4 separate regions of the Mus musculus genome follow, and regions 2, 3 and 4 are each reported to be linked to region 1. The links are microRNA targets in miRTarBase. Many come from high-throughput screens and were not tested one by one. Region 1 holds a microRNA gene; each other region holds the end of a gene's coding sequence.

What was found. Region 1 holds the annotated microRNA mmu-miR-3471 (UGAGAUCCAACUGUAAGGCAUU, at 5,138-5,159, shown strand). A microRNA usually pairs through its seed, bases 2 to 8, with sites in the 3' UTR of a target mRNA and lowers its output. Matches are read on the target gene's strand: a 7mer-m8 pairs with bases 2 to 8, a 7mer-A1 pairs with bases 2 to 7 and ends in A, and an 8mer does both.
Region 2: miRTarBase lists Slc12a8 as a target of mmu-miR-3471. Seed matches in the 3' UTR shown: 7mer-m8 at 5,400-5,406.
Region 3: the mRNA of Cd8b1 is a reported target of mmu-miR-3471. Seed matches in the 3' UTR shown: 7mer-m8 at 1,205-1,211.
Region 4: the mRNA of Tmem151a is a reported target of mmu-miR-3471. Seed matches in the 3' UTR shown: 7mer-A1 at 2,879-2,885.

The regions. Positions count from the first base shown.
Region 1 is chr4:10,843,625-10,850,743 of GRCm38, reverse strand. It overlaps Mir3471-1 (microRNA 3471-1), which reads left to right and starts at 5,114; the gene lies at 5,114-5,244. It also overlaps the pseudogene Gm12918.
Region 2 is chr16:33,661,846-33,668,964 of GRCm38, reverse strand. It overlaps Slc12a8 (solute carrier family 12 (potassium/chloride transporters), member 8), which reads right to left. Exons shown (of 13, transcript NM_134251.3): 13 at 4,827-6,040. The coding sequence ends at 5,878. Among named protein-coding and RNA genes, the nearest start is that of Heg1, 19 kb to the left of the region's middle.
Region 3 is chr6:71,336,195-71,343,313 of GRCm38, forward strand. It overlaps Cd8b1 (CD8 antigen, beta chain 1), which reads left to right. Exons shown (of 6, transcript NM_009858.3): 6 at 516-1,298. The coding sequence ends at 528. Among named protein-coding and RNA genes, the nearest start is that of Cd8b1, 17 kb to the left of the region's middle. RefSeq lists enhancers at 1-1,859, 1,575-1,859, 1,854-6,239, 6,440-6,936.
Region 4 is chr19:5,075,251-5,082,369 of GRCm38, reverse strand. It overlaps Tmem151a (transmembrane protein 151A), which reads left to right. Exons shown (of 2, transcript NM_001001885.2): 2 at 1-3,037. The coding sequence ends at 600. Among named protein-coding and RNA genes, the nearest start is that of Tmem151a, 6.7 kb to the left of the region's middle.

The DNA.
Region 1 (7,119 bases):
CTATCTTCACAACATTTGTTGTCTTTTGCAGAAACGTTTTAGCTTTTGACATCTTGTTTCTGGATGTTGAACTCTGTCCTTTGAACAAAATAAATCAAGATGATGATGTATGGAGAAGCCGGGTGCTGGTTCTTCCCCAAGAGTGCCTTTAGGGACCACATATTAAGCACTTCAACTTAAACAGGGCAGCGGCAGTTTAATGAGACTTCAACCATAAGACAGACACTCAGGATTATAGAAATGGATAACGTAATAGTTAAACAATTATTGTGTGTGATCAGTTTCACATGAAGATTCCAAAGCTGTAAGAACATTTGGTGGCAACTTGTTAGTTAATAAATTATTTTGTATTTATTATGTGTAGATAATGCACCAAGTGTTATATGAATACATATCTCTGCTCAGAAGTCAGGAGAGAGGACAAGGTTATCTCAACACAGAGGAGGTGAGACTTACAACACTTGAGGATGGTTACTAAAAATCCCTTCTATGTAATTAGTTAAACTATGCATTTGGTTTGTCTATAGTTTATAGCATGTTTTCCAATAGAATATATAGTTTAATCCTAACCTCACCCTTACTGCGTGGTTATTTAGCCAGGTGCAAGCACTAGAAAGCCTGATCCACAGTCTTAAACAAAAGAGTAAGTTACAATCGTCTCAGCTTTAATTCCAGACGTGTGGGAGTCTCAGGACTGTTAATGAGCAGGTTGCGGGGCCTGTGGGTAATTCTTTCCACTCCGGCATCAATGGTATCAACTCTATCCAAGCTCACACTCCCTCATGTCAGAAGCAACTTGGGCAGCCCACCTCATTATTTATAACTAGCTTACAATAAGAAAAATCTCTCACTCGTGTGGAAGAAAAGGCCTCTCCTCGTTAAGTATTTTATCCCTGCCATGGAGCATAACCCACAGCAGCTTGGTGCTTCCTGGGCCTGTCACCGGCATGGAAGAGTGGGAATATGGCTGTTGGCCTAAGCAGACAGGATCTACTCATGGAGCAGAGAATGGAGTAGTTTTCACTAGGTCATCTGGGGTGTGTGCCAATGAATGAAAAAAGTTGGGACTTAGGGAAGAAGCAAGGGGAACAGATACTGGGGACATCCAATAGTGTTCACTCGGAGTACATCATGGTGCTAATTTACAAAGGATGGCAACTACCTAAGATGTCACTATTGGGTGGTGGCAGGGTGGAGAGTTCTAATTACAGGTCTGTTGCCCACTTTAGAGGTAGTTCCAGTCCAAGACAAGAAAGGAAACAGCATCATCTTCAGGTCTCCTCGTTTTATTCTTTCGTATTCTCTTTCTTCTACAGTGTAGGGACAAAAGGCCCTTAATGAAAGCCATCAGTCAGTGTCTAAGTTCCAAGATCTCTCGCATATTATTTATTTATTTTGGTACTTTGCTAATAACTATTGACAAAATTAAATTATTATTATTAGTGCATGCATATGCATGCTTGCATGTGTGTGTGTTCATGTAGGTCAGAGGACAACTTTCAGGAGTTGATTCTTTTCTTTCACTGGGATGCTGGAGTTGAGCTTAGGTTGTCAGGCTTCTGTGGCGAGCACTTCTACTGAAGGAGCCATCTCTTGGTCCAATTTTTTCTCTTTAAATCATGCCTGAAATGTATTTTTTTTTTTTTTTTTGCTTTATGGAAAATTTATTGCAACTCTCCAACACAGAATTATTTTTTCTTTTCAACATCTTGCTCTGCAGCTTCCTTCGCCCTTTTTGCTCGGATGCCAAAGAGTCGGGCATTGGCACGGGCCATTCGGAGACTGGCAAAAGCCTTAAAGTTCTTCTCTTCTTCTGTGATAACTCTGGCCTTTTCCTTTTTGTACACATTCCGGATGGGCATCACAGGTCCTGTCAGCTGGGTGGCCAGCTTAAGTTCTTCAGCAGAACTGTCTCCCTTCTTCGGAGCAGAAGGCTTCCTGGGGAACAGGATGAGCTTGGAGCGGTACTCCTTCAGGCGCTGCACGTTGGCCTGCAGTGACTCCGTGGACTTGTTTCGCCTCCTCGGGTCCACAGAGATGCCGATGGTGCGAGCCACTTTCTTGTGGATGCCAGCCACCCTGAGCTCCTCCAGGCTGAAGCCCCTGCCAGCCCGGACCTTGGTGTGGTATCTCACTGTAGGGCACCTCACGATGGGCCTGATGGGGCCGGACGCGGGGCGAGGGGCGATGCGACGCGCTTTCGCCTGCCGGGCCTTGCGCCTGCGGATCTTGCGCGCCGGCTGGTTGAACCAAGTGTCCACTCGCTGCTGCCAATCCTTGTGGAAGTGGGGCTTCAGTATCATGCCATTCCGGCTGGGCGCCATGGCTGCCTCCTATACAGGAGAACGGCCCTGAAATGTATTTTAACCAAAAGTTGTGGCACATGCCTGTACTTTCAGCACTTGGGAGGCTGAGGTAGCAGAATTCTAAGCCATCCTGCAAAGAAGATTTGGAGACCGCACAAGCTGTCTGGAAGAAGCAGAGGCCTGCCTAACTGACTGGTCACTTGGAGAGGACACTCCCCAGCCTGTTGAGCTGCTGTTGAGTGGCTTGCAGGCTGTGCAGTGTGTTTCAGGTTCCCAGCTTTGTGAGCTGTCACTTGTGCTGGCATGGGCTTTGCTGCCTTTGAGTCATTACTGCTTTTGTAAGTAACCCCTCCCTTGTATTGTGATTAATCCCAATAAAGATTGCAGTCTCCAAATTGGACTTTGGTCTGTCATAGGCCCCCTCTCTGGGGTGAATAGACATGATCTGCAATCCCCCAGGGAAAGTCTTGTCATATATGTTTTTATGTTTTATCTCCTGGAAGTTCCTGCCTTTCCCAGGACCAGTAGATATGCCAGCATGGGCTTGGCAGGCTGTTTCCATCTTTGTGCTGTTCAACCCTTTCAAATCCGAATGGCTAAAATGCACAGGTTTGATCTTGCTTAGTTCTCACGGGGCTTTCAGTCATAGTTAACTGTCCTTTGACTTCTGATACTAATAAGCCATAATCAAGCAGAGTGGTTATTCTCTAAACCAAATATACAAGACTAGAGCATTGCAGAAAGTGAGCCATTTTCCCCTTGTGTCTCCCCCTCTTTCCCTCTTCTATCCTTTCTGTTCCCTCCCTTTCCTTCTATGAGAGTCACGTGCTCGCCTGTAAGTGTTAGCAGTGGTTTGCCCCACCTAAATACCGAATCTCACCAGTGTGAATGTCAGCATTGTCTCTATCCATGACAACAACTTTGCCCAGGACTCCTGCAGGAATGATAGATTTATGTGGGATCACGAGCAGCGTCACCCCTAGAAATGAAGCCCAGTCTGGCTCTTTATAAGTACATCAATCACTTTAGGGAAGGTGAAAGTTTACCAGGCCCAATATTTCTCTTCTGCTTTGTTTTATCTTAATCCCACTTTGCTATTTTTTCCACCACACCCACAATCTTCCCTGAGTTATACCCCGACTCAGCTTTAACAAACCCTGCTAGGACCACTCTCTTCAGTAACTTGTTCCATATGTTGCGTACATGGGGTGTGTCAGGATCCCCGCCCCCTTCCAATTCCTCATCGTTGTACGGCATCCATCAGTGTTTGACACAGTGTAAGTAAAATGGAGACCTACTCTCCAGCTCCCATCTGGGTGGGACCTTTCTCTTTGGCAAGTTCAGTGTGGTCTATCATTTAAAGAGTCCTGTGGAGTTTTGGGAAGTTTTTCTAGTGCAGTGGGAAGCAGCCAGTCTGTCTTCACAGCACTGCCCTTTCCTCAGAAAGCCACATTCAGGCCAGCACCACCTGGGGAAGGAGAAAGTGCCAGTGCCATCCTTGTTGGAGTTCAAAGAATCTTTTAGTAGGCAGAGAATTTGTCTGTGACTTTCCCAGTCCTTTTCCTCTACAAAGTATGCTCAGATTTCAGCCATTTTAAAACCAAAGCGGTGATTTTTAAAAGTGTACTTTCTTGCTTCCTGGACTATCCCACTTATGTCTGCTCAGGTTCCTTCTCTGACCTTTACCCATATTTGATTGTGCCACAAGACACGCTCGCCATTCCAGCTCTCACTGATACTAATTTCAGCTTCCAGGTGGCTAGTGGGTCTTTGTGTTTGGGATATTTTCTCCCCTGGTCACTGTTAGGGGTTACCTTTTATAGTTCTGCTTACCTCCTTCTGCATCTCTCTGGAACAGGAGAGGCGGATCCCTCTTGGCCCGTTTGTCCTGAAGATACCATGCTTGCAGGTGCCAGGAGCGCTGCATCCGTGTACAGCGCCTGGCAGGGCTTCTGTGATGGGGAATTGCCCTTTGTTATTGTAGATTTGTGAGGCTGATCTTTCTACCATAGCTGTCAGGAACCTGCTTTCAGGAGTTGTTTGCCAGGACCTGGAACCCTGAGGATGTGGTCAGCTTGTAACGGCTACGCCAAGGATCACCAAGAGGAGAATGATGCGCGGTGAATTCTTTCCGCAATATAAACTTATTCCCGGCGTTATAAGTATGTTCTCTGAGAAATGTCTACACAAGCCCCTCAGGCCAATCTAGGCAGGCCCTTACGGTACTTTGTTTTTGTGTATACACGTTTTTGTGGGTGCCTGGTCGTGTGAGTGTGTGTGAAGGCCAGAGCTTAATGTTGATGCCTTTCTCAGCTGCTCTCCACCTTATATTTGGGACGGAATCTTCCACTGAGCTGGGAGCTCATTGGACTGGCTACAGTAGCTAGCCAGGAAGCTCCAGGAATCCTCCCATCTCTGCCTTCTCAGAACTGGGTTACAGGAGCCAGCTGCTGTGCCTGACTTTTGACATGAGGTCTGCGACGCCAGGCTTAACTCCTGTGTTTGCACAGCAAATGCCTTACCAACAGAACTTGAAAATTTAAGAGTGGCCAGTGGCCAGAAAAGCGCCCCTGATATTTTTTCTTTTTTTATTAAACTAATAGAATTTATTTTAAAACATACAACTCAGTATTGACACCTTCTTTAAGTCATCAAAAATAATTAATAATAGTTAAATGCCCCTTAAATATACATGGTATCTTCTGTAACTAAGAGTAATATGCACTCAACCGCGTTTTAAAAATCTGTTTGGAATATTGTCCTGGCTAATTTTGTGTCAACTTGACACAGCTGGAGTTATCACAGAGAAAGGAGCTTCAGTTGAGCCTCCATGAGATCCAACTGTAAGGCATTTCCTCAATTAGTGCTGTTATGCTGCTAGTGTATGCTCTGTCCAGTTTCTTTTTGGAGGTATTTAGAGCTATGAGTTTTCCTTTTACCACTGCTTTCATTGTGTCCCATAAGTTTTGGTATGTTGTACCTTAAATTAAATTCTAAAATCTTTAATTTCTTTCTTTCTTCCTTGACCAAGTTATCATTGAGTAGTTCAGCTTACATGTATATGTGGACTTTCTGTTGTTTTTGTTCCTGTTGAAGACCAGCCTTAGTCCATGGTGATCAGGTAGGACACATGGGATTATTTCAGTCTTCTTGTTGAGGCCTTTTTGTGACCGATTTCATGGTCAGTTTTGGAGAAGGTACCATGAGGTGCTGAGAAGAAGGTATATCCTTTTGTTTTAAGATGAAATGTTCAATACATATCTGTTAAATCCATTTGGTCCATAACTTCTGTTAGTTTCAATAGCATCCCTGAAATTTTAAGAGTTGCTGGTATATTTTGGAGGTCACTTCGTGTCACATATTTTGCAAGTATGTCTCCCATCCCTTTGCTTTTCTTTTCACTTTGTGCAGTCTCTCCTTTTCTGCTTATTTCTTTTCCATTGCTCTCTTCTCTCCATGCATTTCTTTCTCCTTTGTCTCCTTAGCTTTGTTTCTCCTGCTTGACTCCCCCCCCCCCCCTTCCTTACTTGTCTGCCATTTCTACCTTTGCCCTCACTAATTGCTACCTGCATAGCACATTCTACAATAGTTTTGGTCATTTTTGTGGGATTTTAGTCAGGTGAGGGCACTGCTCTTGCAGGACTGTAATGGATTTCAAGTGTATTTTTAAATCATGGATGCTGTTGTTGTTGCTAAAATGGGTTGTTTCTGCCATGTGGTGCAGTACTGTGGATTGAGGCTTCAAAAGTAGATCTTTCTCCAAATCCAGAGGAGAGAGCCAAACCAACAGGTGTGGAAGTTGAAACACAGAAATGCATGAAACAAAGCAAAACAAAAACAAAAAAATAAATGACAACCCTCTAACGCAAAGCATGAGACTCTTCCAAAGGACAATGAAGTGTGTAAAATGCCACAGAAAGATTTCAAGATGTTTTTTTCCCTCTCTGTTAAGAGAGATCAACGGTCTGAAAGAGGATATAATCCAATTCATACTGTAGAGGAGGAAATCTTCAAAAGTATGTGAAAAAGTCAGGAAGATGGAAAGAAATTGAGATCTGTTAAAAAGAAAACAAGCAGAAATATTGGGAATGAAAACTCAGTGAATAAGGTAAAAGACAGCGGGCTGCATCATGAGTAGACTCGGCCAAGCAGAAAAGAATATCAGCAATAGAGAACAAGGCTGCTGAAAGAACACACCAAATATCAGTAAAGATTAAAAAAAAAAGGCCCAGAAAATACAGAAATGGATGCTCACAGTCATCTATAGGATGGAACACAGGGCTCCCAATGGAGGAGCTAGAGAAAGTACCCAAGGAGCTGAAGGGGTCTGCAACCCGATAGGTGGAACAACAATATGAACTAACCAGAACCCCCAGAGCTCATGTCTCTAGCTGCATATGTGGGAGAAGATGTCCTAGTTGGCCATCATTGGGAAGAGAGGCCCCTTGGTATTGCAAACTTTATATGCCCCAGTACAGGGGAACCCCAGGGCCAAAAAGGGGGAGTGGGTGGGTAGGGGAGCAGGGTGGGGGGAGGGTATAGGGAACTTTCGGGATAGCATTTGAAATGTAAATAAAGAAAATATCTAATAATAATAATAATAATAATAAAGGCCCATGTGTCCTTGTTTCATTTCCTGTTGTTGTGATGAAATACTCAAGAATTTTAGGGAAAACTATTTATTTGGCATCTGTGTAGTGGTGAAGTCACAGTGGCAGGAGTTTGAAGCAGTTAGGAGAGGAACAAATGCCTGCCTCTACTCAGTTCCCTTCTCTGTGTATGCAGTGCAGGGTTCTGGTCAGGGAATGGCACT
Region 2 (7,119 bases), not on the chromosome of region 1:
TAGGCATGGTAGAATATGTCACCTGGTACCTGGGGGATGGAGGTAGGAGGTTTGGAAGTTCAAGGTCATCTTCAGCTACATAATGAGATAATGAGTGTGAGGCCAGTCTGGGCTACATGAGATCCTGTCTCAAAAATGAATGAATGAATGAATGAATGAATGAACAAATAATCTTCCCAACTCACTTGTACAAGCTATTGCTTCAGTTGATACACAGCAGACAATAGGACCCTGAGGACCTCAAATAACTGGCCCTTGCCTCTTTAGAGGTCTAGGCTAGCTTTTTGGCTTCCTCTTAGATATCTTGTCTTAGCAATAGATAACTCGCCACCAGGCCACCCTCTACTTCCTGCACTGTGACATGGCAAGAGGAAAGAGCTATACCCTCATCTAAAGCTAGGTTTCCCCTGAACCTGGATCATTCATGGGTTTAATGTTTTAAGACAGGAGCCTATCTGATTAGTCAGAAGTTGGGCCGTGTTCATGAGTGGGCAGAACCCCCATTTGAAAGGTAAGAAATGTGAAGTTGCCGCCTCTCTTTTTCATATGATACTGCTGACAAGGCAGGCTGGGCCTTGGTTCTAGTTCCTTATTGAAGGAACTTTGGGGTTATAGCTTCTTAGACTAGAGAGGGAAAAAAATGTTAGACACTGGAGCCTTGACTCAAACTGCTGATACCAGTGGCATTTATCCACCACTGTTGTTGACAGAAGTTTTGTGCCCTTTCAGAGAACTAATATATAAACTGAGGCTGGAGAGATGGCTCAGCGGATACGAGAGCCATACCACTCTTGTAAGGACCTGAGTTCAAGTCCCAGCACCTATATCATGCAGCTCATGGTTGATACTTTGATATCTCTGTCCTCCTTGAATACATGCAGACACTTATATGCAAATAAATAATAATATTGAATATGTAAACTGGCACCCTTTATCCTATCTTTATTTGGTGGGGGGTTGTGAGTTCCTCTGGATAGCCCTGGCTGACCCAGGACTATCTGTGTAGACCAGGCTTCCCTTGAACTCAAGAATACTTCTGCCTCTGACTCTGAGCGCTTCAATTAAAGGTGTGCACTACCACTGCCTGGTTGTGCCCCATCTTTAAACACTGAGTCAGAAATCTGAAGAGACTCCTTGAATCCTGAACCTTAGACTCAATACCAACTTAAATTATTTATGTATGATGCATCTGGCTATGTAAATTAGAGGGCAGATGAGCACGATTTTCAGAGATACCTGAGAAAATGACCTCTGTTCAGTGAGGCCTGCTTGCCCTCACTTTCATCTATCTTGCTGTTCATCCATCCTGTTGCTGAGGCATTCCTTCACTGGTATTAGAACCTATTTCTTTGAGACTCCAATGAAGACAAAAAAGCAGCTTAGATGTCCAGGCTCGTGGATGAAACAACTATGTGATTCTTGGCCCTTTTATCAGGAGATAGTTAATGCTGGACTAGCCGGACCACAGCCTGTAAGGTACTAATGAAATATCATTTCTATACTTCTGTTCTCCAGAACCAAGAAAAAAAATATATTTCTGTTGTTTTAAAGGCATCTAGTCTGTGGTTAAGACTTATGTATTTCATCAGTACTGTTCCTCCAGGGAATCCTGACTAATACATGCCTAACCCTTGTCTGAATGAGCCAAGCATGCTTACTCATCGTAGTGACCTGCAGTATGCGGGTTTTATATAACACTGGCTAATGTGCCACCTCAGGTTCCATGTGTACCACCTGTGCATAGTCAGGCTACTCGTTGCATCTCAGCTGTGATGACCCCTTCCAGGTGGACTCCAGTTAGGCTGACTCCATGCAGAACTACTAGGCACTCCCATGCATGCACATTACAAGTGAGGTGGAGGTGGCTAATGTCCTCCTAGGCTCCCCCTTTAGTTTGGGGAACCAGGAACCAGGAGATAACTCTTGACTCCTCCCCCCTCTGGAAGAGGGTCTTGAGAGAGGTGTTCTGCAGTCTCTTCACGAGGAGGCACGTGCTCCTGTGTAGCTTCAAATCCTTCCTCCTTGCCTTGGTCCTCTTGCTCGCTCTCTTTCCTGCCTCCCCTTACTGAAGTGGTAGCTTGTGAACATCAACCTGTTTAGCATCTGCCCCCCCCCCCCCAACACTGAGCTGCTCATTTTGTTTGGAATCCCTGACACTGAGTACAGTTTCTGATTTTTGTCATGAGCCAGTCCTCTCTTATTCTTCTCTGTAAGATGAATCATACTGGACAATGCTCTTCTTGAATCTTCTGTGCATTATTTTTGGCCTTGGTATCATCCTACTTAAGCTCTGTGGCTAGCCCGGCTCACTACCTCCTTCAAAGAGGTTGCTCTTTTAGCCTGGTGTGCAGCATTCAAAACAGCAAAAGCAGATGCAGTCAAAGTCTTCTCTGCGTTGTGCAAAAAGGCGAGAACCACTGCTCTGGATTATCTTGGGCTTCTGTATTATCGCATGCCTCAGAAAACAGAGTAGAAGATGGACTTCACATGTTCCCAGAAGGCAGCTGTAGCCTGCAGTGTTGGCTTTGAACTGCAGAGATGTGGTCACAAATCCAGGTGGCTGGCAGCAACCAAAGCTAGAGGAGGCACAAAACAAACTCCCCCAAAGATTGTGGATTCTTGGATTCAGCTTTGATGCTTGACCTTCGTTTTTGACTCAGTAAGACGGATTCGAGACTTCTGTACTCCAGAGCTATGAAAAAAATATATTTCTGCTGTTTTAAAGACATCTGATCTGTGTGATTAATTACAGAAGCCATAGGAAAATTTTTGAATGCAGGTTCCTCTTTAAAAGGGGCTTCTGATCTGGAGGTTGAGGACAGAGGGCTAGTTTAAGGCTAGCTTGGTCTATATAGTGAGTTCCAGGCTAGCCTGAACCACACTGAAACCCTGCCAACAGGGCTGGAGAGATGGCTCAGCAGTTAAGAGCACTGACTGCTCTTCCGAAGGTCCTGAGTTCAAATCCCAGCAACCACATGGTGGCTCACAACTATCCATAATGAGATCTGATGCCCTCTTCTGGTGTGTCTGAAGGCAGCTACAGTGTACTTACATATAATAATAAATAAATCTCTGGCTGGAGTGAGCAGGGCTGGAGTGAGCAGGGCTGGAGTGAGAAGAGGTCCTGAATCAAAATTCCCAGCAACCACATGATGGCTCACAACCATCAGTATAGCTACAGTGTACTCATATACATTACATAAATAAATAAATAAATAAATCCTTAAGGAAAGAAAAGAAAAGAAACTCTGTCAACAAAAGCAAACCAAAAGAGGTCCTCAGGGATCGTCACCCTGAGCCCTTCATGAATAGTTGGCTTTATTTCACCATCTTCCTACTTCAACCTGTTAGTAAGCCATGACCAGCTCAGTCTGTCTTCTTCTGCTTTATTTTATTTTATTTTATTTTATTTTATTTTATTTTATTTTATGTGTGTTGATGTTTTGCCTATATGTATGGCTATATATTACATTCTCTGGTGCCTATAGAGGCCAGTAGAGAATCTCTGATCCTGTAGAAATGGAGTTACAGTCAGTTGTAGGATACCACATAGGTACTGAGAATTGAACCTGGGTATTCTGGAAGAGAAAGAAGTGTTCCTGACCACTGAGCTATCTCTCCAAACTGTGTCCTTTAAAAAATATTTACAAAATTTTATGTGCGTGTGTGTGTGTGTGTGTGTGTGTGTGTGTGTATACGTGTGCGCGCCTGAATGAGGCTATGTGCACTATATGCATGCAAATGTCCATGGAGGATAAAGGGTATTGGATCCTCTGGAACTAGAGTTCCAGGGGGTTGTGAACCGTCTGATGTGAGCGTTGGAAACTGAACCTGGGTCCTCCGCAAGAGTAGTGAGTGTTCTTAACCACTAAGCTACTTCTCCAGCCCCTCAGACTGTGTTTTTATGATATTTTCTTCTAAAAGGTTTGTGTGTGTGTGTGTGTGTGTGTGTGTGTGTGTGTGTGTGTGTGTTTATGTGTTGAAAAGTCACAGCACAACTGTGGAGGTCAGAGGACAACTTGTAGGAGTTGATTCTCTCCTTCTACCATGTGGCTTCTGGGGCTAGAACTCAAGTGGTCAGAAATGGTGACTCCTTTTGTGGTGTTGCTTTAGACCCAAAGTCTGCATCCTTTAAAGGTATGTATCTAAAAGTGCTCAGACGCTTATTCCTTAAGCAGAGCTAGGTTGTTTCCTGCCATCACGAGTGAGAGCTTGTTTTCCAGAAGAGAAGGTTACAAGACCTAGCTGACCCCTTATGCCCTTCCCAGCCCTCCCCTCCTCTAAACTGTCTATCCAACACATGGATGTTTTATAAAATGTGTCCACAGCATACCCAGCACTGACTTGTGTATGGCATTGTTAAAGATGTAGATCCCATGACTCTTCTAAAACTTGGATGGGTCACTTTGAACATGTGCGGCAGGAGAGAGCACAGCATCTCAGGAGAACGTATGGAAGAGTCTAAGGTGAGCCAGCAGTCCATCCCTCCACGCTCAGCAGTGGAACTGGAGCCTGGGTTAGGGGCTGAGCTTATTAGGAGGCCTGGCCCCCACTGCTGGATGCTTGCAATAAGTGCCAAGTCTAGATCACAGAAGAACCAACAGTCCTGTCGTCTCGGGCAATCCATGGTGCAAAACAGCTGCAAAGGTGTCAGGGAGTCAGACTGCGCATATTTTTGAAACACTGTTAGGCAATTCATAGCAATTTCTCCCCCTTCCCCATGATACAGGTGGAGTCTTACTGTGTAGCCCAGACTGGCTTCAAACTTTTGGTCCTCCTGTCTCCATCTCTCAAGTCCTGGGATTTCAGGTGACTATCAAGCCTGGTCATGGTATTTGATTGACTTTTTAATTAAAAAGCATTTCTCCAAACAGTAACAGCTTACAAATGTACATCCCCAGTCACCCTGTAATTCTCCTTCTGAGAATTTATCTTCAGGTATCCTTCACGACTGTGCACACAAACACAGTGACTCTTTGCAGAAGCGGCTGTAATAGCAAAATATCAGAATGAAGCTAAATGCCGTCCTCGTGAGGCTGAGTATATAAATTAAGGCACATTCAGACATAGAGACATAAGGAGGAAACTGTGTAAGCATCTTCATGGAAATGCTTCTATGGCAGATTAAGGGAGAAGAGCGGGATGTAGTGCATTGTAAACAGAGCTGCATTTGCAGATGGGAGGGGTCTGTAAAGAGGTGGCTGATGTTTGCATGAGAAGTGGTTGCCCCTGTGATGGGGGACGGACACCAAACAGATGAGAAACAGGGAGAAGGGGGTTTCTATACTCTGTGGCTTGGGAACCATGTGAGTGTAGTTAGTATACATTACAAAATAAATAAAACAGGGGAGGGTGCTGGAGAGATGGCTCAGCAGTTAGGAGCACTGACTGTTCTTCCAGAGATCCTGAGTTCAATTCCCAGCAACCACATGGTGGCTCACAACCATCTGTAATGGGATCCGATGCCCTCTTCTGGTGATGCTATTTTCTGTCTGAAAATAGCTACAGTATATGTATATATATATAATTCTTTAAAAATAATAAAAAATAAAACAATAAAATTAAAAAGAAGTGTTTATTTTGGCCCCTTAGAATAAGAAATCTCGTTTTGATTCTCCACATTTGGTTGTCTTGGTGTCACCTGATCATCCTGGTGCCTGTGGACTCTTCAGGTTGGGCACACGTGGAAGCCATAGTCATACCTAGTATCTGGCTAGACATGCCATTTCAGACCGGAATGTGATTTCCAGCGTCCAAGGCTGTGGTGGGAAGACCAGTCTTGGGTTTTCTTATTGGTAGAAGCAACTTCCAAAGGTTCTGAGGCTTGGGTCCCCCATCTCCACAGCGGCTTCTAGAAAGGTGGGGTCCAGCGAGGTCCTAGTAGGGAGGCATCAACTGCTCCCGGCTCAGGAAGGAGGAGTGGTGGTAACGATCTCGGGTGGCGAAGTCTGCATTGTCCTGGGTAAGCTGAGTCATTGCCATGTCAACCTTGGCTGGTGATGGCGCCAAGATGATTTGCTCCTGGGCGGACCTCAGGCTCCTTTGGGGGAGACATAGGATGGGGAGAGGGGAAGAACAGGTGGAGATGAATTATGGGAGCCAGTCCACCCCATGGAGATACTGTCCACCCCATGGAGATACTGTCCACCCCATGGAGATACTGTCCACCCCATGGAGATACTGTCCACCCCATGGAGATACTGTCCACCCCATGGAGATACTGTCCACCCCATGGAGATACTGTGCAAACACCAGCTGCACTAACATTTATGTCTTTAAATACTTAAAAGATAATTGTTGGGAACTACAACAGCCTATGAACTCAAAGTAGGAGATACAGTATCAAGTGAAGACGGTAATATTGACCATTGTTAAGTGAAACACTGTAAAACTATACCTTCTAATAAGGGATGCCCACCCTAAAGACAGTTTTGTGAGAGTTCTGTAACTTTTCTTTGTTCTTATCAAATGAGACAATGGCAGGACTAAACTACAGACTGGAGAGGAATGGAAAGAGAAACTGCTTGGCTTCATTAGAAAGAAAGTTGAGGTGTCCCTACACCAACCCTGCATACTACAAAACCACCCTTCTAGGCAAAATATGCCTGTGGCTGCAATAGTAGCAGGAAAGGTTATGGGGTTAACAACTGTTTTTTGATTGGATTTCAGGCCTACTCCACAGAAAAGAATTAAGACTTGGTACCATAATCCTGATCAAAAGTAATGGCTCAGGAGGTTATGGGCCCAGCGAGGAACTCATTACTGTTGTTTTGCTAAAGAACGTATTGTCAAGCTGCCTTCTAAATGATTATTGCTTATACACATAGATTAGCGCTGCCCTCAACCTTAGCCAGAGAAGCTTCTGTCTGGAGTGCGCAGCAGTTAATACAGAGACAAAACCAGTCAGAGCGCTGAGAATAAGTGTCTATTGAGCGTTCAGCCCCACACGAGACATCCACATCCACCCCTGTCACCAAGGCTGAGGGAACTTAAGGAAGAGGGGCAGAAAGGAGAAGCAGAGAACAGGGAAGACTACGAAATGCTGTCCTCTGGAGACGGAATGGCCACTGCTCGTGGTTTATGAGCTCATTGTACATATGATTATTCACATACAATCAA
Region 3 (7,119 bases), not on the chromosome of region 1:
CATTTAGAAAGTGCTTCAAGAAGCAATGTCACTCAAAACTAGGAGGTTTTAGCATTTTTTTTTCTTTTTTAAACATTTCTTTATTTTGTGTATACACATGCATTGTGGTAGGGCAGAATAACTAGTACTGGGTATTGAGCTCAGATCATACTTGGAAGTAAAAGCACCTCTACTCACTGAGACATCCTACTGGTCCCAAAGATAGTAGTTTTGAGCCCTAGTGTGTGTGTGTGTGTGTGTGTGTGTGTGTGTGTGTGTGTGTGTATACATCTGTGTGTCTCTATATGTTATTTTGTTGTAGTTTGGTTTTCTTTGTTGTTGGTTTGGTTTGGTTTTTTTAAACTTTAAGGTTTAAAATGCTAGAAGTGGGCCTTACAAAAACCATCCTAACAGAGCTCTCAGCCCCAGGCATGCCCTCCTCTTCCTCCATCTGTCATTGCTTTTGCTATAAGAAATATAGCAAAAGTGTCACTGGCCTGAAAATAAGAGTCTTACAATTTGCTGTTGTTTCCCAGGTTTCACAAATGATCAGCGCCCACAACACTGATAGCCTGCTAGCAATAAAAGGACTGTAACTCAATCAAAGCAAGATTTGAACTAGTGAGAGACAGCGCATTCAAGACTGGAGAGGCCCTTGCCCTTGCTCAAGCTGCCTGCTTTGAACTGCTGCAAGCTCTGTGTGTGGTCTGGGGTCTCACAGGGAAGGCCCCAGAACCCAAGCTCACTCACAGAGTGGCTGAAGAACCAAGAACTCCCACACCACCATGTACTCTTCTTGGACTGGGCCTTGGACAGTGGCCTTCCAGCCACTGTCTTTGTCAGTTGCTTGGTATGACAGCCTTATTGACTCTTTGGCCTTTCATGGAAAAGAGCTAGCCGGGACCCTGGAGAAGACTGCAAATCCTCACACAGAGAAGCCACCTCATGAATAAAGTTTTCTGCAAACAGTTTCAGGGCTCTCAGCAGCCATCTTACTCTCTCAGGCCTTGCCGTGGGTTTGGGAGGCTGTTGGCTCAGGAGACAGACTTCTACTTCATCTCCTAGTAGGAAGTTTCTAAGCTTCACTTCTTCTCTCTCGTGGCTTATATATTTCTTCTCTCACTCTCTGCCCTTTTAATGAAAATGTTTTGGCTATAAAAATAAAGTCCTGCCGGGCGTGGTGGTGCATGCCTTTAATCCCAGCACTCGGGAGGCAGAGGCAGGCGGATCTCTGAGTTCGAGGCCAGCCTGGTCTACAGAGTGAGTTCCAGGACAGCCAAGGCTACACAGAGAAACCCTGTCTCAAAACAAACAAACAAACAAAAAAAAACAAAAAACAAAAACAAAAAACAAAAAACAAAATAAAGTCCTATGTTAAAGACCTCAGACAAGCTAGGAGTGGCAAGGGCTGGGAATATAGGACTCCAGCCTAAATAAATGCACAAGGTCCTGCGTTCAGTCACCACATGGGGTGGGGGTGGGGAGAAAGGAGGGGTGAGTTCATTTTGTGTGTTTTCATCTTACATCTAAAACTCTCATTTGGCCACATTCATTGTGCCCATAACTTGAATTGTGGATGAAGAGATTAGGAAATACCTAGGACTCCCAAAGCCAGGCCATGCTGCTGTGATGCACATGAGCATGCGCGCGCGCGCGCGCACACACACACACACACACACACACACACAGAGTTCCAAATGCTTTCACCTACAGTGATACTAGAAGCCCTTTCAATAGAAAAGAACAGGTGTTTGTTCTAGCCGTTGGAGAACCTTGAAGTCTGTCTTTTAGGGGGGAGGGGATAGTTATGGCTTGCCTAAAACTCAATACATAAATAAGACTAACCTCAAACTTAAAGAAATCTGCCTGCCTCTGGATCCCAGGCACTGGGATTAAAGGTGTGAGCCCCACACTTGGTAATTTAAAAAATATCTGTATGCACATGCAGATTAATATGTGTGGTGTGTGTGTGTGTGAAAGAGAGAGAACAACTTCTAGAAGTTGGTTCTTTCCTTTCTCTTTGATTCCAGGCATAGACTCAGGTCATGAGACTTGTGTCTTTACCTGATGAGGCATCTTACCAGCTGACACTGGCCAACTCCTCTTTTCTTCTTCTTCTTCTTCTTCTTCTTCTTCTTCTTCTTCTTCTTCTTCTTCTTCTTCTTCTTCTTCTTCTTCTTCTTCTTCTTCTTCTTCTTCTCTTCTTCCTCTTCTTCTTCTTCTTCTTCTTCTTCTTCTTCTTCTTCTTCTTCTTCTTCTTCTTCTTCTTCTTCTCCTCCTCCTCCTCCTCCTCCTCCTCCTCCTCCTCCTCCTCCTTCTTCTTCTTCTTCTTCTTCTCCTTCTTCCTCTCCCCCTCCCCCTCCCCCCTCCCCTCCCCCTCCCCCTCCCCCTCTCCTCTGTTTTAAAGAACTTTCATCCTCATTGGGGTAATGTCTTTTGTTTTTGTCTTTTGTAATAAGATAAGGGGGAAAGACCAGGCACACACCATATGCTGCTGACAATCACAGAGAGGAACTTTTGGTAGGTCGCAGGTTTTGCAGATTCGAGACATAAGAACCTATCACCCCATCCCCACATGTCCCTCCCTATTCCTGTTCCAGCCCTTGTTCCCGAAGGTTAAGCCTCAGGACTCCTGAATGAAGAAAGCCTTGTACCAAAGCAAAAGTGTAAAACCACAGTTGTTGTCCGTAAATTTGCAACTGCTGAGCTGGAGTCAGAGTGGAGAGGAAGAATCCTACATTTTAAAATGTCCCTCCATTTGTCTTCACTGGGCTCTAGCAGCCTATGACCAGCAAGGCAAAAACCATTACACCTGGCCTGTGCATTCACAGAAGCAATGTGCCATGGTCATCTGCCTGCTCTTCAAGGTCAGATCAGAGAAGCGTGAGGGAAAACTGGGATGTGTTCTGAGGTCTCTGACAGTCACAGAAGGAAATATACCTCCAGAGGAAGGGCATCACAGCCTGTTCCCGCATCTGAGCTGCAACAGAGGCAGAACTGGGTGAGGTGGATAGGAGTCAGACAGCGTAGCTGCAGCAGGTCCTCCAGTGAAGCAAATGCTTTCTGCAAATGACAGGCCACATCTCAAGACTGATGGGAAAATAGCAAAGGATCAAGATGGCCTCTTGCTCTAGTCACTCTGTAAATGGTAAGGCTGAAACCTGGGCTGCAATGCACCCTCTGTCCCCTGAAGGCTCATACCCTGTCCACAGCGGAAGGAAGGAAGAACACACCTCACCTCAGGGTTGCTCGTCCCACCTCAGATTGTGAAATTTGAGCATCTCCCTGCTTCTGTCTCAGCAATTATATTTTCTTGCTTATAGTTCCGTGGGGGCTGGACTGGCAGGAGTGGACTGGCTGTGTGCTATGAAGCCAGCAGCTGCTCAGATGGCACAGCTGGATCAAAGTTGGCTGCCAAGGGACGGGGGCTGTGGTGAGGAGGTCTAGACTTGGCACCTGACTACTTTACAGAAGAGGGAACTGAGCAGTCACTACTGCATACAGTCACTACTGCATAAAGGTCTTTAGTATATACATCATGTCTGGCCTGGCCTTCACTTTAAATAGGCTACTTGCCAAACACAAAAACACATTGAATTATTCTTGTGGTTCGGCTTGGTGGCGTAAAATTGGAAACACTCAAAGGCTTAACAAGAAAATAACTTCAAAACCCTGGGTTCAACATCCAGCATGGTTAAAAAAAAAAAAAAAGGTAGCATTGATGAGAAACTAGGTAGATAAATTGTGGTACAGCTTTATAAGTAAGTTTATGCCGCTATTAAGAAATGTATTAGGGCCACATGTGAGACTTTGTCTCAAAGTGTGTGTGTGTGTGTGTGTGTGTGTGTGTGTGCACGTGTGTGTGTGTGTGTAAGAAAATACTTAAGAAAAAGAAAATATCAGCCCATTGTTCTACAAATCGGATTTTTTCCTAGCAATCTACCAAGGCCTGCAAGCATATGATATATATGCATATAAAGGGGCCTATAAGTGTTCACTCCGAGAGAGAACTCTTAAAAACTGCGATAGATGAGGATGCTGGAGTGTCCCCTCCACAGTGGATGTCTTCTAGCAGGGATTCCAGAGGACACGCATTCAGCTCCAACTAGGGGGCAGCCACTGAGGGTCTGACCCTGCCCCACTGAGTAAATATATAGTCAACAAAAACTGGACTTTTGTTTTATTTTGTTTGGGTCTGCCTGCCTGCCTGCCTGTCTGTCCATCTGTCTGCTGGGGGATGTAACAAGCGTGGGGTCAGGAAAGGGAAGGACAGTGTAAGATGCAAGACTCAATATGAATGTTGTGTTGAAAAAGAAAGAATTTACTTCAAGAACATAGCTCAGTGGTTCAGAACACTGGCTGCTCTTCCGGAGGACCCAGGTTCAATTCCCAGCATATCAATCCATAGCGTTCCAGGCGATCCAATGCCCTCTTCTGGCTTCCACAAACACCAGGTGTGCAAGTGGTTCACAGACATTCATGTAGACAAAAGACCATATACATAAAAATAACTTTAAAAAAGAATTTACTTTCAGTTGTTCCTGGCAGCAATGTTGGAGACTTTCCATTTCTGCTTTGAAAACCATAATGGGGGGGTGTAAGTGGGGAGGTTCAGATGGTAAATCCCTTACTTAAGTGACATGCACAAAACTCACGAACCCAGGGTGGTGGTGCTTGCCTGTGATCACAGCAGTCAAGAGATAGAAGAAGCAGGAGGATCAGAAGTTTAAGGTCATCTTTGGCTACACAATAAATTTGAGACCTCATCTCAAAATAAATGAAAATAAAGTCCCAAGCAAAGAACATTGCAGAAATGAGTAAAATTAGTATTTGAGCAGCTGGTTGTGTGGATCTGTGCGTAAAAAGTTTCTTTTACAATATCTAAAATACAAGTAATTCTTCCACAAATGTAGCATGAAAAATATTGTAGTATGTCTGAGGCCACAACGCAGGAGGCCCTTTGCTTGTATCCTAAATGGTTACGGATGTACGACATAATCCCCGTTAGCTGGGTTCTGGAATATTGGTAGTGTCTGCCTCTCTGCCCTGCGGTGGTCTAGATTGACAATGCCAAGTAGAAGGTTCTAGAAACAGCACTTTTGTCCTTGGCCTCCTTCAGAGAAGAGCAGCTGCAGGTGTGCTGCCCCCAGGTCCACCCGCAGGAGGAGAGGGGGCTCCGATACCAGCCCTCTCTCTCCTCCTTACTCAACCCCAACCACAGCAGCCCCTCTGCGCCGATAGGAAGTGGGCGGCTTGTTTTCAGAAAGAGATTCCCCAGCTTTTGTGGGCTGCGAAGCAGCTCCGAATCTACCACCTAGTCAAAGAGAAAGAGAGAAAGAGCCCCGGGTTCACAGCCCTGGGTTCTCTGGGTGGTAAAGGACAAAGAGATTTCCTCTGTTTTTTCTTGGGAAACCTCCTCAGCTCCTCTATGACACTCTTCAGGACTTGAGTCACTGCTTTCTGAAATCACCCATACCAGTTTATGCACTCAGATCGGGACCCGTGGTCTCGAGATCGGGGCTGCATGGCCGTATGCTGACACCTCTGGTTTGGGGAGGTGGCTGTTGTTTTGTTGTTGTTTTAGGGAGGTTGCTGCTGTGTTTGCTTTTGTTTTTTGTTGTTGTTTTGCTTGTTGTCCTTTTGAGACTGGGTCTCCTGTAGTCCTGGATAACTTGCTATGTTGTCTTGAATGTCATTGAACTGCTGATGGTTCCATCCACCATCCTCCATCCTTCATCCTCCATCCATCCTCCATCCTCTATCCTCCATCCTCCATCCACCATCCTCCATCCTCCATCTACTGTCCTCCACCCTCTACCCTCTATCCTCCACCTTCCAAGTGCTGTCTAAAGGAGCATGGCACCATGCCTGACAGTTTTGGTTTGAGACAGCCTGTTCCTTGTGGGGGGACCGAGCCCTCCTCCTAGGGGATCTTGGTACTAGTTAAAATATACTAGTTAAATATACTAGTTAAAATATACTTCTTTGGGTCACCTTCCTGCCCAGGTTTCCCAATGCATGGATCAGTGGTACAACATGGGCAAGGCAGAGCCTTCAGGGCCCTAGGGCACATGACCTTCCTCACAGGCACTTAGCAAAAAGACTTCTCCGTGTCCTTTCATCAGTCCAAGCTACAGCCTGCAGGAACCCACTGGCTTTTTTCCCTGTTAACATGTTCATATGGATGGTGTCCCTAAGTCTTAATGTAGGAGACTAAGAAAGAAACCAAGTAAAATGCCATATTGAAGTCTTCAGGATCCCAAGCGAGTGAGCCAGAGCTTGTCCCTCCTGCGGCTCCCCACCCATGTGCCCTGTGAGCTCACCAAGGCCATCAGGTACTTGGGAATGCTCAGTCTACCCAGAATAGGTGACACAAGCTTAGCGGTCACAGAAAGAACACACGCCCAACCATGTAGCTGTCAGTGAGCACGTGTATCCCAGCCCTGAGCTGACATTCATGGACAACTCAAGGCCAGCACTTGCATGACTCTGAGAACAACCTGCCCCAATGGCCCACTGGCTACTCCTTAGTCTCAGCCCTGGACAAATGGACAGAAAAATTCTGGGATGGTATGACCTGAGGCAGAGGCAAAAATTGGCTTTGAGAAGTCTTAACAGTCTCTCACAGGAGATTTCATGAAGGTCTCTGGGGTTGGGTGGGGATAAAGATAAGAGGGGAAGAATTGAGCTGGTGTGGGTTAGGGGTGGAGGCCCACCTTCCCCAACACTCCCCTCCCCAGCACCTCCAGCATCCTGTAAGCCACAAGCTACGGGCTACACAAGGCCAGGCTCAAGGCAGGCCATGACCCCTGTGCTCCACCCTCTCTTACCACAGGCTTCTGCCACCCTCAGGGTACACAATGGGAAACTCGACCATCACAAAGCTCTAACTGTCTTCAAGCTTGAGCAAGAGAAGGGGAGTCCAAGCTGACCCCTTCTTCATCTAGCACCCACCCCGAAGCCACACTGCTGCTTAAACTCAGACGTGCGGAAGTAGAATGGTTTCCGTAGGCAAGGAGGACTGACTAGAAGACCTTGTATGGGTTTTCCATCCCATATCCTGTGATCTACTTTGTGATATAGAGGCCAACAGAGACAAGAACAAAGGCTTGCTGGACTCAGGCAAGAGCCATGTTCTCC
Region 4 (7,119 bases), not on the chromosome of region 1:
CTCATGGTCTTTGCAGACCCCCGCAGCCCACCCTGGTATGCCCGAGCCTGGGTCTTCTGGCTGGTGTCTGCAGCCACGCTGTCCTGGCCACTGCGAGTGGTGGCAGCCTATGGGACAGCCCATGTGCACTACCAAGTGGAGAAGCTTTTCGGTGCCAGCTCACCGCCCCCAGGGGCTGTGCCCAGCGGACCACCACTCTCTCGCGTGGCCACCGTGGACTTCACAGAGCTTGAGTGGCACATCTGCTCCAACCGGCAGCTGGTGCCCAGCTACTCGGAGGCTGTGGTTATGGGTGCCAGCTCTGGGGCCTACCTGCGAGGCTGCCAACGCTGCCGCCGCTCGGTCAGCAGCAACTCCCTGCCTCCTGCCCGCCCCAGCGGGCCTCGCCTACCCTTCAGTCGCAGCCGCCTCTCGCTAGGTGCTGGGGGCCGAACCACCCCAGGGGTCTTCCGAAGCTTAAGTGGAGGTCCCTTGGGACGCAGAGGGGAGGACACGGAGCCTCTGGAAAGCCCTCCGTGCTATGAGGACGCCCTTTACTTCCCGGTGCTCATTGTCCACGGAGACAGCGGCTGCCGGGGAGATGGGCAGGGTGCACTCTGAGGTACCCGCTCCTACAGTCCCAGAACACCCCTCTCTTCTCACCATCTCACCACGGGCTTGGATGTCTGATTAACTGTCGGAAACAGGAAAGAAAACAGACCAGCCACGCACAAGGGGTGGGAGTGGAGTGGGATCCTTAGACTGAAATGCGGTGACACATGGTCCTCTGAGGAGGAAGTAAATGCCATCTAAGTTGAGTCTGTGATCTGTCCCCAGCATGGCTCCCCCAACCATCGCCATGTTCCCCTGTGATAGCAGATGATGCTGGGCAGGGAGAGAAGCTTCCAGAAAGACTGGGATGGGGAAGAGACCTGAGCACGGCCGCCTGCCTCTCTGCCACGCTGAGCTACATGTGGGGCCCTCCAGCAACATAGAAGCACAAACTGGTGGCCTGGGACCATGGCCAGCTGGGATTGCTGTCCTGAAGCTGAACAGCTGGCTGTGGCTACCCCATAGCTTGGTCCCCTGCCCACCAGAGTTTCCATCTTCCTCTGCTCCATTCTTTTTGTCTGCCCTCTGGCCTCTGCTCCGGGCAAGTGCCCTGATTATCCCTAGACCCTAAGGTGTGGTTAGTCCCTCCACAGCGCCCAGCTCTCAGAGCACAGACTTGCTCTCTGCCCCCACCTTGGTCTCCCTGGTTCCTGCTGCACCCTCATTACATCCAGCTTTCCTTGTGACCCAGGTTTTCCAACTCTGAGCCCCAGCATCCTAAAATTCATATCTGCCTCTGTCAGCCACGCAGCACCTTGTCTCCACCATCCCTCCGGGCTTCTCTGCTCTTCACCTTCTGCGTGATCCACAGGATGCAGGACTACAGGGCATCCGAGGGGCTCTGCCTTGGCCACAGCCTCTTGGACGATGCCCTGGTTGCCTTGAAGGCCCCTGCTTCTCCCATTCATGGAGCCTGTCCAGGGGACACCATCCCTCCCTAGGGAGAACAGACTAGTCCCTTCCCTTCCAACTGGGGATTCCACCCCCTCTCAGGGGCTGGCGGGGGAGGGAAGAGACAGAGAAAATTAAATAAAGTTATGAAACGGGAGAGGTTTCACACGTGTGTTCCTGGGTGATGGGTCCAAGGCCACTGAGTACAGAGTCAGGTGTAATGGTGGGCTCAGGGAGGAGACCCAGAGGTAGCGTCTAGTATTCAGACACACAGGGTGGGAGCCTTTCTGCCTCCCCCAGGGCCTCTGAGACCCAGCTTTGAGATGGCCTGAGTAGCTGACTACACTCAACCCCAGTATCAGAACTTGATTACATAGTATGCATTGTCCCAGGTGACTCCTCTTCCAACCTGGTGGCAATTGCAAACCTGCTGGGCATGCAGAGGACTAAGGGGTGATGTCTGCTTCCCACTGTGGGGAGAAAGGTATGGCTTGTAACCCAAATACAGTTCCATTTGTGGCCACTGAGCAGTCTGGGGCAAGTTGAGGGAAAGAAAGCTGAAACATGGGCAAGCCAAAATGGAATCTAAAGAAAGAGAATACAGGAAGGGCCTCACTCTTCTGAGTGAGGTGTCAATGTTGTATGCAGAGTTTGCTCACGATGTCTACTATACACGAGTGCTAGGCTGCGGGGAAGCAGGAGTATAATTAGTTCCCGAGCTTTGAGTAGCATGGGGAAACAGAAGCCAAGACCCATGGCTCTAGGACAAACACCAGAGTCTGTGTTGGAGCTGGAGCCATGGTGAATAGTTGAAAAAGAAGAAAGCTGAGGCTTTACATGAAGACAACGTCCAGCTGCCTGCAGGGAAGTCTAGCTCAGTGGGTAGAGTGCTTGTCTAGCGTGCAAGTGGCCCAGGGTTCCAGCTCCAATAACATGAGTAGCAAGTGTGGTGATGTGAGTCTATCATCCCAGTGTTCAGAAGATAGAGGCAGGAGGTTGGAATTTCAAGGTCATCCTTAGCTAGGTCTGGAGTTCAAGATTAGCCTGGGAGACCTGAGACTCCATATAATAAACAACTGAAGTAGAAAACCTACAGTACCCAAAATACCAAGAAATCTTCCTGGGGGAGGTCTCTGCCCTTCCTTCTCCTCTGATACTATAGCTACCAAGTGCTCACAGAACCTTCTTTCTTCCTCAATGTATAAATCCAACTGTATCCTAGATGGCAGTGACCCCAGCCAAAGGCAACATTCTACACTCCCTTGCATGGATAGTGTGACATAATTCTAAGACATAGTCAGAAGGAGTGAGAAGGGATTTTTTTAAAGTATTATTTATTTTATGTATATTTTGAGTACACTGAAGCTGTATGCAGATACACCAGAAGAGGGCATCAGATCTCATTAAAAATGGTTGTGAGCCACCATGTGATTGCTGGAAATTGAACTCAGGACAACTGGAAGAGCAGTTAGTGCTCTTAACCACTGAGCCATATCTCCAACCTGAGAAGGGATTTCTAATGATGTCTTTTAAGATAAAAACAATGTTGGAGAAAGCCATTGTTTTTTGTTTTCTTTTGCTTCATCCGGTATTCATGTTGGAATGTACATGTGATAGCTGGAACTCTAGCAGTTATCTTGGATCTGGAGGTAACTTTGAAAATTGCAACCATGTGCAGAGAATAGTAATATCAAGATAAAAGATCCTGGGTCTCTACTGCCTCAGTGGGGTTGCCAAAGCACTCCTGGTTGCCTACTTCCAGACTTCAATGCAAAGGAGTAAAATACAGTTTATTTAAGTCACTATTTTCTCCTTCGTTTCCATTAACAACAACCTTTATTAATTATCAGGTGGTGATGGCGCACACCTTTAATCCCGGTACTCAGAAGGCAGAGGCAGGCATATCTCTGTGAGTTTGAGACTAAGCTGGCCTACAGAACAAGTTCCAGGGCAGCCAGGGTTATGCAAAGAATCCCTGTCTTGTGTTTTCTTTTTTTTTTTTTTAAATGTGTTCTTTTTTAAGATTTATTTATTATTATATGTAAATACACTGTAGCTGTCTTCAGACACACCAGAGGAGAGCGTCAGATCTTATTATGAATGGTTTTGAGTCACCATGTGGTTGCTGGGATTTGAACTCAGGACCTTCAGAAGAGCAGTCAGTGTTCTTAACTGCTGAGCCCTCTCTCCAGCCCAGAATCCCTGTCTTGAAGAAACAAAACCAAACTAAAACCAAAACAAGAAGAAACTATGATCCTTGCCATCTCTTCTTGCAGTTGTGGGTCAAGAATTCAGTCAAAGCACAATGAAGACACCCTATTCCCTGCCTCCCACATAGAGGGCCTCCTCTGGAGGTCTCAGGAGTCAAGCTGGGTTGTTCTGAGGGTCTGTCATAGGCGTCACGGGACTGACTAGAGATGTTGGCTAGAGCAGCCACTGGTGGACTCCTGGCGCCTGGGTCTCCTTATGCCCACCAGCTGGCTGCAGGGACAAGGAGAACAGCAAGGGAACCGCACTGTCACACAGAGGCACAGCAGAAGGTTGTCATACAGACATCAGGCTTAAGTGGGGAGAACACAGACCCCACTTCTCCACCAGGTGTGGGGGAGCACAGCCCTGGGATCCCAGAACTAGGACGTGAAAGCAGAAGAATCAGGAGTTCAAGGTCATGTTAGACTGCACAGTGAGTTCCAGTCCAGACTCTGGTACCTGAGACTCTCTCTCTCTCTTTTTAAGGTATTTAACCTCAGGCCCACCCTAAGAAGTCACATTCATTTGGTTTTACTCATCCACTTTCTTTTTTTTTAAGATTTATTTATTTGGGGCTGGTGAGATGGCTCAGTGGGTAAGAGCACCCGACTGCTCTTCCGAAGGTATGGAGTTCAAATCCCAGCAACCACATGGTGGCTCACAACCATCTGTAACAAGATCTGATGCCCTCTTCTGGAGTGTCTGAAGACAGCTACAGTGTACTTACATATAATAAATAAATCTTTAAAAAAAGAAAAAAAACGCCGGGCGGTGGTGGCGCACGCCTTTAATCCCAGCACTCGGGAGGCAGAGGCAGGCGAATTTCTGAGTTCGAGGCCAGCCTGGTCTACAGAGTGAGTTCCAGGACAGCCAGGACTACACAGAGAAACCCTGTCTCAAAAAACCAAAAAAAAAAAAAAAAAAAAAAAAAAAAAGATTTATTTATTTATTATATGTAAGTACACTGCAGCTGTCCTCAGATACTCCAGAAGAGAGCATCAGATTTCGTTACGGATGGTTGTGAGCCACCACAACAGGGATTTGAACTCAGGACCTTCAGAAGAGCAGTCGGCGCTCTTAACCACTGAGCCATCTCGCCAGACCCTTTTTCAAAACACACACACACACACAAAAAAAAACCACAACAGGAGATGGGAGAAACAATCATGGTCTTCCTTACAAATGAGATGATGGCTGAGCCCGGCCGCTACGTACTGACCTCCACAGCTTGATCTGCCTTTTATGATCTTGGCTGGAGAACAGGGTGGTGGCAGTATGTCAGATGTAGGTCTTCTCAGGACAGGGTGACCTGCTACACATTTATTGGGGGCTTTCATACTCATAAATGTAGGTGGCAGGGATGATGGCAGGGATGATGTTTTTGGATTTTTAAAAAAAGATTTATTTATTTACTATTATATGTAAGTACACGTCTCCAGACACTCCAGAAGAGGGAGTCAGATCTCACTACGGATGGTTGTGAGCCACCATGTGGTTGCTGGAATTTGAACTCAGGACCTTCGGAAGAGCAGTCAGTGCTCTTACCTGCTGAGCCATCTCTCCAGCCCCTGGACTTTTTTTTTTTTAAGACAGGGTTTTGTGTGTGTGTGTCCCCTGGCTGTCCTAGAACTAGTTCTGTAAACCAGGCTGATCTTGAGATCCACCTGCTTCTGCTGGGATTAAAGGCCCGTACCACCACCTCCCAGGGTAAGTACAGTCCTAATGTACTTACCCTCATCACTCAGGCTGTGGTATTCGGTGATAACAACAGAAAAGTTAGTTCTGTCTATTTCCCCAGAATGGTAGGAGTGTCAGGGCTCTCTGTGGATGCCCTGGCAGTTGTCTGGGATTCTCTCAGCAGCACCATATGATGAACAGATGGACCTTCATTCTCAGCCGGGACCTGTGACTGGAGATGCAGATGCAGATGCCAGTCTTGGGCAATCCAGGGATAACAGCCAAACACTTGATCCTCAACACTGACAAACAAGTTGTCTCAGTCAATGCACACAACTCAAGGACTTCCCATCAGGCCTCATCACCTTAGTGCTGCCACATTGTAAATCAAAACTCAGCATGAGAGAGGGACAAGCCACTGACTGTGGTACCACCTCAGAATGGCTTTCCATACATCCCCACCTGAATAAATGACACCAAGCAGGGGAATGAGGCAGAACTCAGGTCAGGAGAGGTAGCCCAGTGGTTAAGAGCACTGACTGCTCTTCCAGAGGTCCTGGGTTCAATTCCCAGCAACCACACGGTGGCTCACAACCATCTGTAATGGGATCTGTTGCCCTCTTGTGGTGTCTCAGAAGAAAGCCACAGTGTACTCACATACATAAAATAAATAAATCTTAAAAAAACAAAAACAAAAAAGCAGGGCGGTGGTGGTGCACGCCTTTAATCCCAGCACTCAGGAGGCAGAGGCAGGTGGATTTCTGAGTTCCAGGCCAGCCTGGTCTACAGAGTGAGTTCCAGGACAGCCAGGGCTACACAGAGAAACCCTGTCTCGAAAAACAAACAAAAAAACAAAAACAAAAAATAAAAAACAAAAAAACTTTTGCCTGGTGGAGGTGGCACATGCCTTTAGTCCCAGCACTCGGGAGGCAGAGGCAAGTGGATCTGTGTGATTTCGAAAAACAAAACAAAAACAGAACAAAGCAACAATAAGAACAAAATCTCAGTGGGGCATGGTGGCGCACGCCTTTCATCCAGCACTCGGGAGGCAGAGGCAGGTGGATTTCTGAGTTTGAGGCCAGCCTGGTCTACAAAGTGAGTTCCAGGACAGCCAGGGCTACACAGAGAAACCCTGTCTCGAAAAACAAACAAAACAAAGAACAAGATCTTTTAAAAATAAAAACACAAGCCTCAGACATCTTACAGCTTCTCCATCTCCTTGCCTTTCGGTCCATCTCTGGGTCCTCTCAAATCTGCGTGCCCACTCTTCTCTGTTCTTCTCCTTCACGGCCCAGTTCCCCCACTACCTAAATTCAGGCCAGATCTTTCTCTGTCTGCTGTGCTGGCTGATTTTATATCAACCTAACATTAAGCTAGAGTCATTTTGGAAGAGGAAATCACACCTGAGAAAATGCCTCCATCAGATGTCTGGAGTGCATTTTCTTGCTTAATGACTGACGTGGGAGGGCCCAGCCCATTCTGAGTGGTACCACCCTTGGTTGATGGTCCTGGGTGCTATAACAAAGCAAGCAGAGAAAACCATGAGAAGTGAACCTGTAAGCAGTGCTTCTCCATGGCCTCTGCTCCAGTTCCCACCTCCAGGTTCCTGCCCTGCTTGAGTTCCTGCCTGACTTCCCTTATTGATATAGAACAGTGTGATCAGGGAGTTGTAAGCTCAAATAAACCCTTTCCTCTCCAACCTGTTTTGGT